Schizosaccharomyces pombe: one gene and its partner. The protein of the gene in region 2 interacts with the protein of the main gene of each other region in a pairwise test. Each region holds a gene or a part of one and is shown on either strand. Other genes may lie near its edges.

Evidence for each region.
Region 1: the proteins of clr5 (region 2) and spo5 interact in a two-hybrid assay, tested with the Schizosaccharomyces pombe proteins (one large-scale study listed by BioGRID).

What each region holds. Positions count from the first base shown.
Region 1 is NC_003423.3:2,534,324-2,539,261, reverse strand, and holds spo5 (meiotic RNA-binding protein 1), read right to left. Parts: upstream 3,113-4,938; 5' UTR 3,042-3,112; coding exon 2,812-3,041; intron 2,764-2,811; coding exon 2,420-2,763; intron 2,365-2,419; coding exon 1,235-2,364; 3' UTR 1,008-1,234; downstream 1-1,007. Other genes in the region: histone H3-H4 chaperone, CAF assembly factor (CAF-1) complex subunit A Pcf1, read left to right, coding at 1-943; ccr1 (NADPH-cytochrome p450 reductase), read right to left, coding at 3,763-4,938. UniProt on the Schizosaccharomyces pombe protein: RNA-binding protein which plays a role in sporulation. Regulates the progression of meiosis I and may function in the vicinity of the Mei2 dot.
Region 2 is NC_003424.3:5,426,219-5,432,240, reverse strand, and holds clr5 (silencing factor Clr5), read right to left. Parts: upstream 3,886-6,022; 5' UTR 3,835-3,885; coding exon 3,719-3,834; intron 3,123-3,718; coding exon 1,169-3,122; 3' UTR 718-1,168; downstream 1-717. Other genes in the region: plasma membrane glutathione transmembrane transporter Pgt1, read left to right, coding at 1-383.

The sequences.
Region 1 (4,938 bases), on a different chromosome or scaffold from region 2:
TTTGGATGAAGTCCTCTCAACCTCTAAATCTTATCCTTTAAAGCTAAACGACATTTTTACACCATCAGATGCTGTAAGCTCCGCAAACAGTTTAGGTGTTAGTAATAGAAATTCCGAAAACGAGGTTCGACAATTAATGAGCGCATATCAAGATCCATCTGTTTCAAAACCTCAAGAAATTTTATCTTGTTTATCACAGATTCCTATTAAATTCATTTTCTTTTATCAGGATGTTCGCCCTCCATATTTTGGATCTTACACGAAAACCCATTCCCATGGTTCTAACGTTTTATTGAATCCCTGGCTTGAAGATGAAGACATAGACTACACATATGATTCAGAAGCAGAATGGGTAGCTGATGAGGAAGATGATGGAGAAGATTTAGAAAGTGAAGATGAAGAGGTAGATAATTCCGATGATATTGTAGAGGATGGTGATAATGCTTTTGTGGATGATGAGGATGATGACAAGGATAGTGTCAATGCTTCTAATACCCATCGTTCCTCCGGCCCATTAGAGGTAATCGTAGAAGGTCCGGTTTGGGATTCAAAGTTTCTTCCTGACTTTAATTGCTTATCTTTAATTGAACCCATTAGTTCATTTTCAGCATCTACATATCTCCAAATTGATCCTAAAGAGGATTTATGGGCTTCTCAAGATACTGCTCCAGCGTCTAGTGGAATGACAATTGGACCTACCAGTTCACTTTCTGATGATTTACAAGTAAGGTTTCCTTCTGAAGATATACCCAAATTTATAGAATATGTCCGTAACTCTCATGACAACAAAGTATTCCTGATCGAGAATTTGAGGCACATGTTTCCTTACGTAACCAAAAATATTATCAGCGAAACTCTTGGAAAAGTCGCTGTGCGTAAAGGAAAATCAGTATCTGATGGTTGGATAATCAAGGAGAATTTTGCATCCCTTTTATCCTCTTAATTCACAGTGTGCAATTATCTTGAACACTCAAGGACTATTTATACCTCTCTCTTTTTATACGATTAAGCAAATATGTATAATATCATTCATTAATACTGTAGTGGTTTGACCTTTGTTATATAACCTGATAATAAATAAAAGAAAAAACATAGAAAGAAAGCTTTGGCCCTTAATTGTAAGCTTTGTCTAACAGGTTTTATGTTGGTTTAAGTTTGAGTATGTGATAAGTGTTTGAAAAGATTTCGATATTAGAGTTTGATGTTCAAGTAAATGCTGGAAAGATGTTTAAATTTAATTAGCAGCAGAAGTAGCGGGATGGGCATGATATGGCGTAGTACTTCTGCTGTTTTCATAGTTTGAGGGATAAACGGAATAAGAGGGATACATACTTTGCCAACCGTAAGTATCATAAGTGGGTGAATGTTGATAGACTGTGTTCGACTCCAATGGCACATACATTCCAACTTTAGAGGGCATAGAGTTATTTGCGAACTCCTCAACTTTGGAAAAAGCATTATTAGCTGTCATTCCCTTAGTTAAAACACTGTATTCACGAGCACGCCATAATCTTCTTTTCTGAGTCTGACCTTTAAACTTCTTCTGATCAGTGGAATCAGCAAAACGGATTTGTAATGGGGGTAAAGCAGGATCCAAGACAAAGTTATTAAATTTATTAATTATGTCTTCAGCCGTTTTACGATCTTGCATACGAGCAAACCCAACACCTCGAGATTGTTCCTTAGAGTCACGAAGTACGCGGTTTGATATGATTTTGCTGGGTTTAAACAATGTGGAAATATCACTTTCATTCCAATGAAGAGGAAGATTAGAAATATACAGATTGGTGCTTTCTGTGTCTTGTAGACTTTGAAGACGTGCACTGAAACTTTCTTTTGCAAATGAACACTGATATCCACATAAAGTCATGGCTGAAATGCAAATCAATGCAGATTTCTCTTCTTCAAAGCATGCAAACCCATATCCTTTACATAAATTCGTTTCCATATCAATTATTGCTTTGCTGCTACTAACTTTACCAAAACGATTGGTGTAAAGCAACAAATTTTCATCCGAAGTGTTGGGAGGTAAACCACGAATGTAAACATTCCGAGTACGAGAAGTGCTTTCCATGTTACTTTTTTTATTATCATGAGACATGGGAAACATGCTGGGAATGGCAGGAGGAATTGCAGGATGCAATCCAACCAGTTGAGAAAGGTAATTTGTATTCTCCTTTGTTGTACCGACACTCATTTCTTGATTAATGGCAGCGGGAATATTTTTTTGCCCTTGGGAAAAAGAAGGCATCGAGAGAGAAACTGAATTCGTAGGCACAGTCGCTGAAGGAACTGGCGCGAGATATGTTGGTTGATTGACAATATGAAGTCCCGGCTGATTTAAAGAGGGCATTTGAGGATATACTAAAAGACGAAAAGTTTGGTAAGTATTAGTTTTTTCATAAGCTGTGTATCATACCATTCTGAACATATGGTTTTAAATACTGATGAGTATTGTTAACATGATAAGGGTGAACAGACTGATGAGTCTGCCATTGTGAACCATAGCAAGGAGCTACAGAATTGAATGCAGGACGGAATCCAGAGACACCCGGTCGATTGTTGGAAATGGCTTGTGACTGTGCATAGTATGACGGATAATAAGAGTTGGCATAGTAGGCGTTTTGTTGTGGCAGTGTTCCATTATTAATATTGTTATTTGCATATGAAATAGGATCGGTTGTCATAACGGTTGATTGATCAGCAGCACGCCTATTTAAATACGCGGCCTGTGCTGCTGTAGAATAAGTATTGTTTTTTATACTATATTCCTAGTTAGTATTACATTACACATCTGTAATAGCCCTTTACCTGTTTGGCTTCTTGGAAAGCCCTAACTCGCTAGAACCAGGCGTTGCGTTTGGGCTTGTTCCTGGTGTTAATAGTATAATTGTAGAGTCCAATCCTTCACTTTTTTTCGTGTCATTGACATCCACAGTTGTTTGACTTGTTGGAGTAGACAATTCGGTAGTGGATAATGGATCACGAGAAGGAGAAGACATTAATTGTTTTTGTTTTTGAGGCGTAATTATTCCATTCATCGCTCTTATATGCTTTAAGTAAATAATTTTTAAATTATGTATACTTTAATGTTTGAATATATGTTAAAGGTAAGTTTTTGAGCGCGCGAAATCTGTTAATAAACAAATCAAGGATAGCATTGTGTTGCATTAGATTTGATAACGTAGAAAAAAAATACACTTAAAGGCTCAGTTTTATTATACAGTTAGGATACATGTATTAATTATGCTTGTACTTTTGGAAACTTAACTTTTCCGCATATTACTCAATGTTTTGCGTTGACAAGTACACATTGACCGAGGATTTAACTTATAGCATCCTGTACTCTAACTTGATGCGTGTATTTTTAAAGCAAAAAAAGAATTATCAAATACTTTCTATTGTATGTAAATTGATCAAACATTCGCAATCGCCTTAATTATTGAAGTGCAATGAAGTCGACTGCCAGTGTTTACTTTGTTACCCAGCTTTAAGTCGGTTTAGGTTTTTCAATCATGACAAACACAGCACTTTGTGTAGATTCGCATTTTCGGTAGACATTTTTGAGCAGTAAGAAATTCAAGTTGGCAGTTTATTTTTGATATTATAACGTTACAGAGTACTGTTCGTTAGTTGCTACAAAAACTATGTTTTCTATAGATAAAAATACCGAGTGGAATAATGATTGTATTAAACTATTTCTAAGATGAAAAGGCATCATTAAGTCTTGAAGTAATCGCAAAGTCTGGATAAATTCCAAACTTACCAGGTATCTTCAAAAAATCTATTGTCATCTCGAAGAGCTTTAACGGCTTTCATACCGTCAACATCAACAGTGGTCAGAATAGAAGCCAATGCATTCACAACATCTTTAGCCATATGATCAGCATCACCGCAGATATAAAAAGCAGCCCCTTCTTCTACAAGTTTAGCAATGGTATCACTGTGCTCTAAAAGACGGTGCTGAACATAGATTTTATGATCTTGCTCACGGGAAAATGCGGTAATCAGTTCAAAAGAGTCTTTCAAGACATCTTTGTATTGTTGCCATTCTTCCTTATATAAAAAATCCTTGTCAGAATATTGGCAACCATAAAATAAAAGTGTTTTTGCTACTTTAACTCCTTTAGAAGCTAAATTAGCCCGTTCCATCACAAAACCGCGGAATGGGGCTACACCAGTACCCGGGCCTACCATTATTATGGGGACATCGGGAGGAGCCAATCGAAAAGTAGATTTCTTTACAAACATCGGAATTTTTCCGGTCCAGTTTTTACGAGGACCCTCAAGGGTATATTCCAAACCATTTGGATGTGGAATTTTTTCACCGTGCATATGACGACAATGTGCCAACAAATAATTAGTAGTTAGTCCATAAAAGATATGATTCTTATCAGTCCATTCTTTCTTGTCAACTACCGCTGTAACGTGAACTTTGTCAGGATGCACTACACTGCTCGAGGAAATCGAATAGTAACGCGGTTTCATGTGTGCCATATTTTCCAATAGCATTGAGAATGGAAGTTTTGTAAATGGAGCGTCAGGAGAAACACGACGAAGGACTTGAGCAAGGTTTAGGTGCAAGTCTACAACGTTCTTCTTAAAGTAGTCATAATCGTTGCCTAATTTCTCGAGTTCTTGCTTAGATTCTGGTGTAGGAGCGAAAGGAGCAATAAAAGAAAGCAGTTGCCTGGAGACGATACCACATATTTCATAGTAGTAGCGAAAAACAGTGTCATAGGTAGTAGGACTTAAAACAGGAGCCTTATCGAGAGTATCGATAGGTTTAACAATTATTACAGTATCCCTCTTCTCTTTGAGACCGAGAACTTCGAGAAGATCATCAACAGCTTGACTAGGATTCATAGGACAAATAGAAGCGTAATCACCTGTTTGATATCGCATACCAGAGTCTGCGATATCCAACTCTAAATGTAA
Region 2 (6,022 bases):
CTTTTATAACATGGGGTTTGAGAAAAAGGTTTCCTAAGTCGTGGATTGGAAAGCTTAATGCTCCGGTCCTTTTCACTGGTCCTGGCAATATTCCTCCCGCTACTGGAATTAACTATTCTTCTTGGGCAATTGTTGGGTTTATATTTAATTATGTGATTAGAAAGCGCGCGATACACTGGTGGAGGAAGTACAACTACGTACTGGCTGCAGCTATGGATTCTGGGGTTGCAGTCGCTGGAGTAGTAATTTTCTTATGTGTATCATACCCTGGAGGTAAGATAACCTGGTGGGGAAACACTGTGTACACTAAAACTTATGATTGGAAAAGTGTGCCATATAGGTCACTTGGGCCAAACGAAACCTTTGGTTACACCAATTGGTAAAAGCTATTTTAAGGCGTTTAGTGCTCTCTCCTGCTCTTCCGATTGTATTTAAGCACATTTTTTAAAAGCATTTTAACAATCGTTATTTTGATACCCTCTAAGAACGATCTATATTGTACATTATATATTTTACCAAGATGGTGTGATATGCTTTGTCAGTTCAACAGGCCAAATCCGTTCTATTTTAAGGCTTTTAAAAACCTAAAAACGTCCGGTTACTCATAATTTGTTGAATGAAACATTTCCACAGCTTATTAAATATAATACTTTACTGAATCCACTACTATGATAACTATTCAAGGTTGGTTAAAGTTTGTAAATAGTAAAAACCGAATGTATAAGCAAAATAAAAATAACTATTATTAAATATATAACTTTTATGTACATAGGATCTCGTATACGAAAGTACCGGTCGACCTTGATTAAAAATAGTTTCTAAAATTATATACAAAGCAAAAAGACAAAACGATTAAGAGCAAAAAAGAATCAAAAATGAACTTAGCTCAAATAAGAGCTAACGCAAAAGGTTCTTTTATTAAAAAAGAAGGGCTTGCCTGTCCATATACCAGATACTGACACAAATGGCAATATAATTTAACTCACATTAGGCAGGTAGGGCGAATGGTGAAGAAAAAAATTAAAAAACATCTAAATGATAATAAAGCAGAAACCAAAAGGGAATGCCAGAAAGGACCAACTAAAGATACAGGTACTAGTATAAATAGAGCAACACCATGGAAATGGTCAAAACCGCAAAGTGCAACAAGCGGCAATACTAACCTAAACTAAACGAAACGAGAATCTACATCTGGATAAACAGGAAGTAAAGGTCCATGGTCATGCAAAGCTGCATCTGAACGAACCAGGGGAGAATGCTCATGGTTTTGTTGGGGCATAAGCAATGGATTTTGTACTGGATTCAAAGCCGCACTTGCATCTAATAGATTAGCTGAAGGATGGTGAATGTTCTGAGGAAATCTATTAACGAATGTGTTGGGATACGAGTATTGGATATGCTGGTCATCAGATAAATGAGAGTGAATGGGAGGAGGAAGCTGTTGAGGAACATTCTGTGCTGGATCAGCCATAGCGGGGAGAGGATTGTAATATTGATACGGTAGAGCTTGCTGCGATTGCATATGCGGGCTAGGTGCTGATGCTGAGTCATGAGCAGAGGGTCCCATTGTATGAGGCATTGCAGCCTGCGTTGCAGCAGCGGCACTTAGCACAGGTAACGTACCAACGTTATGAACAGATAAATCACGAGATGAACGGACAGTCAGAGTTTCATCGGATGGTTTTGCCTCCGGTTCAATTCGTTCAGAATAGTGATCGCGCATAGTCATTCCATTAGGATCGTATTGAGAATGCTGAGGGTATAAGTGTATACGCTGTAACTGGGAGGGGTCTTTAATTGACATGGAAGACTGCATTGAAAGATTAGAAGGATATTCCGACTTTTGCTCTTGATTAACGCCGTAAATGGAAGACTGCATATAAGCATGTGCTGGTGCTTGCATGTTTTGCCCATCCTCCGCTGAAGAAGAATATGAAGCTGGAAAAATGGACTTGTTTAGAGAGGGGTACTGACTTGCAAAAGAAGCTCCATTTGCATGCGCCATTGAAGGGCTGGATGTAGAATTAGGAGCAGACAAAGAATCAGTAGGCCCTGAATTTGAGTTAGGAGAGGGTGAATGAAGATGATTGGAATGAGGTGTGTATGAATTCATGGGTAATCCATTGACAGCAGTTGGTCCGTTAGAAATTTGTTGAGGAACCGACGCTGTAGAATACATAGGTTGTTCAGATGTATAACTGGGTTGGTGATTTCCAGGCTTACTTTCAAGATAAGATGGTTGATTTGGAGTATATCGATCATAGGAATAAGAATTAACAGGCATCGATTGTGATGATTGCATATAGGATATGTTGGCATGAGTATTGTCCATTGGAAGGGCATTATTACCGTCAGGATGAGCAGCAGATTGGTTTGAAGAAGCAAACATGGTGGAGCCCATTGGGACATTTCTAGATTGGTAGATGAAAGGATACAAAGCTTGTGGCTGACCGTTAACGGCATGTTGAGCAGCAGGGAATGGATGAGATTGTTGCTGTCGAGAGAAACGTTGAGAGGGTATTTGGAAAGGCTGCTGCAAATAAGGAAGAGATGGCATGCTAGAATAGCCAGACTGTGGAGGAGTCAAAGAAGAGTGCGCATTGTGTGCATCAGCCATAGTTGAAGGATCCACACCCATGTGAGGGGGAAGCGAGCTATGGTGAGGAGGATGGATGGCACCCATATCTAAATGGCTCGAAGAAGAAGATGATATAGTAGCGACGGGATCAGGAAGAGTGCTAATGGGAGGAGCAACGTTAGGATTGGAAGTTGTAGACGACGAAGAGTTATCAGCAGACAAAAGACAAGAGTTGGCCATCAAAGGGATAGAGTTATTGGGAGAATCGTGGGAGTCAGGAGGAGGACGCTTTAAGGCTAATCTCTTACGACGATAATGCAAAGCACGTTTCGAAAGTTTTAAACCAAAGTTCGCCTCTATCTGGGCCAAAGAATCTTTATCACTTTGTCGCGCATGAAATAATTGGGTAACGAGTTCATCGAGAGCCTTTGAAACGTCGCCCGAAGCGGTTCGCGCGGCGGCCTCTTCGGTTCGGGGCGAGACAAAACGTTGACGATGTACTCGAATTCCCCATCGAGCCAACACGCGTTTGTATGAGCGAATACTAGAGAAAAGTTAGCAAGAGTAATGAAACAAAACAACAAAAAAAAAGAGCTAAAGAGACAAGTACGCGATACGTGAACATAAACGTGAGCGAAAACGAAGTAGCGAAAGACAACTTCAACGCAACGCCAAATGAAATAGAGGAAAGGAAAACAGGATGGATTCATATGGCATGGTCTTTTGCATGAGCATGCACATGATATACATGACGGGTTATTGTTTAGGACATTTGTATCCTGTATGTAAGTGGATTGGACAAAGTGGATGAAAAAAAAGATATTCCAAACAAAACAGCAAACCAAAAAGACAAAGAAACAAAGAAACAAAATTTCATTGTTGAATGAATGTCTCAGTTGAGGATGTTTTGGAAAACTGCCATCCTGTTTTATTGTCGCAACCCCACATACCCAACAATAGCCAATGTCCATGCAGGCACGACACACAACGACGACCTACACCCAAACATCCAAACACACAATTCCATTCACCTTCTCGTACCTCTAGCCCTGTACTTATTCGCTCCTCGTCGCATCGCAAGCATCTCGCACAAAATGGCGCAACTTGTAGTCCCTGCGGCGACACCAACAAACTACTTACCTAGCGTCAAATTTATACATCTTTGACATTCTCGCCTGCAGCTCGCGAATCGTCATTCCATTGATCTTGGAAAGCTCGATGATCTGCTCTCTTCGACATTCCCATTCCTTCGTCATTGAAATCGAACTTTCGGTTGTCTAATGTTGTTTCAAGTTGAGATTGGAAGTGGCCAGAGTTGGTGGTAGTGGTGGCTCGTAAAGTAGGGGTGAAAATAGTGTATCAATTTAGTGCACGAATGACAACAACGTTAAATGATAAAATAGAGCGATCCAAGGTACACCCCCGGAAACATGTAAGGAACATCGGGTCAAAGAGGATAGAAATATATAGCCAAAAAGGGCGCAACTTTTTTCTATCATCTCAGGCATTCGGAAAAATGACCTCGTATCGATGGTTGCCATCTTTCCAATCACATCGTGAGATATTCATTAAATATTGCTCATGGAGAATTTCGGTTTCACTGTTAAGCCGCTTCGTATGATGGCGCTTCCCTGCTCTTATCCATCCAACAAAACTCATTACTCCTTTCGCACTCAAAGTACTGAAACTCATTCTACTCAACACTACTCTTAGGTAGGTTAGGTTAGGTTAGGTTGGGTTGGGGGAGTTTGGGCCTTTGCTATCCCATATGTCTTTTGGCACGTTTGATCTATTGGTAGAGGGTGGACTCGCTAGCGGCAACTTTTTTCTTTTACCAACTCTTTTGTTCGCTTCTTCCACCTTTTGTCAACTCAACAATAACCTTTAACGTTAAATCCTCGACGAGAGCATTCTGTCCCATTTCCAGTAAGTGAAGGATGAACGTTAGAAAGCTGACATGTTCGCGATTTGGTCTGCTAGTAAATGTTGGGCAGAGATGCCTGCTTGCCTTGTCTTGCCAAGGTATTTTTTTCTTTTCGCAAACGAGTAACAGGTTGCTTTGGAGACGACATGGGTATCTGGAGACGAGTGTCTGAGAAAAAAAATTGAAAATCCGAAATCATGATCAACTCCGAACGTACCTAATTTGGATGGACGAAGAGGAGGAAGAAGCGAGCACCCATGAAAGAGAGCACACTGATGCACGCATCCATCAAGTGTTACAAGACAGAGGTAATAGTAGATGAAATAGAAGGGATGGCAAGGTAAGATATGAAAAGGTAGGGTAAGGCATGGGATAAGAAGAGAAATAGGATAAGAAAAGAAAGAAAGAAAGAAGAAAAATAAAAATAAAAATAATACTAAAAAATAATTGGGGTAATTTCTTTCTTTTTCCTTAATTTATTTTAAAGTTCTTTGATCGAGTATTTCCTTTTTATCGACTTCTTCCTCTTGACACTGCCGATGTCCTTTACCTTGCAAAACTTATGCTATCGCTCATCCCGAGGAAAGTTTATAAACTTGCTAGTAAGACTCGTTGTTTTCTTACTACATAATCCACCTTGTATTCTTTTAGTATACAATTTTAACATACTTTATAGCAGCTTCATTTATACAACATACGGAATAGCATAATTTATTTATTAGAAACTTTTCATAACATACTTTATTCGTATAACATACTCCACTCTATTATTTGTATTATCATCACACTGTCTTGTAAATATAACCCAATAAGTAAATGAATAACTAAATATTAAAAAAAAATATATATTTTGTAACACTGGGATGCCAGTTTTATGCCACTCGCATACCTTTCGCATCCATATCAGACACAACTCTATTTCCTTCAATTTGGCAAACTCTGCGTCCGCCAAAATAAAATCATCAAGTCATGTGAATAAACATAAAGTTGAATGTAACATGTGAACAAAAACATAAAGTTGTGTGAATTTTGCAGATCTTATTACATTTGTCTTTTTCTATTTTTATATCAACATAAACTAAGGAATCCCATCTCCAAAAAAGAAAAAAAAAAAAAGGAAATAAAATTATATGTATATATTTTTATCCATCAGTCTCTCTCACAACAATTCATTGAACCAATATAGTGATATGGATTACTTATTCCACCGTTACAATATATTCATTTAACGACTGGCATTACTCCACTACTTTATCAGCTTCGGTGTTTCCCACCCTATCTATTAGTCTTACTGCGTTTTAGTGTATGGGGTCGAATTTATGGGGGTCAAATTTCGTTACCCTCATAAAATTTTTTTTTCTTCTCCAACATGTCGTGCTAGAGTTAATCCATGCAACTCCACCTCCTCGGTGTTCCAACCGAACATTACTCCCAACCTTGTATACTTTTATGCTTTACTTTATCTAGTGATGATAACATATTCCTTATTTTACATAATTACATTAGGTCAATCATAAATC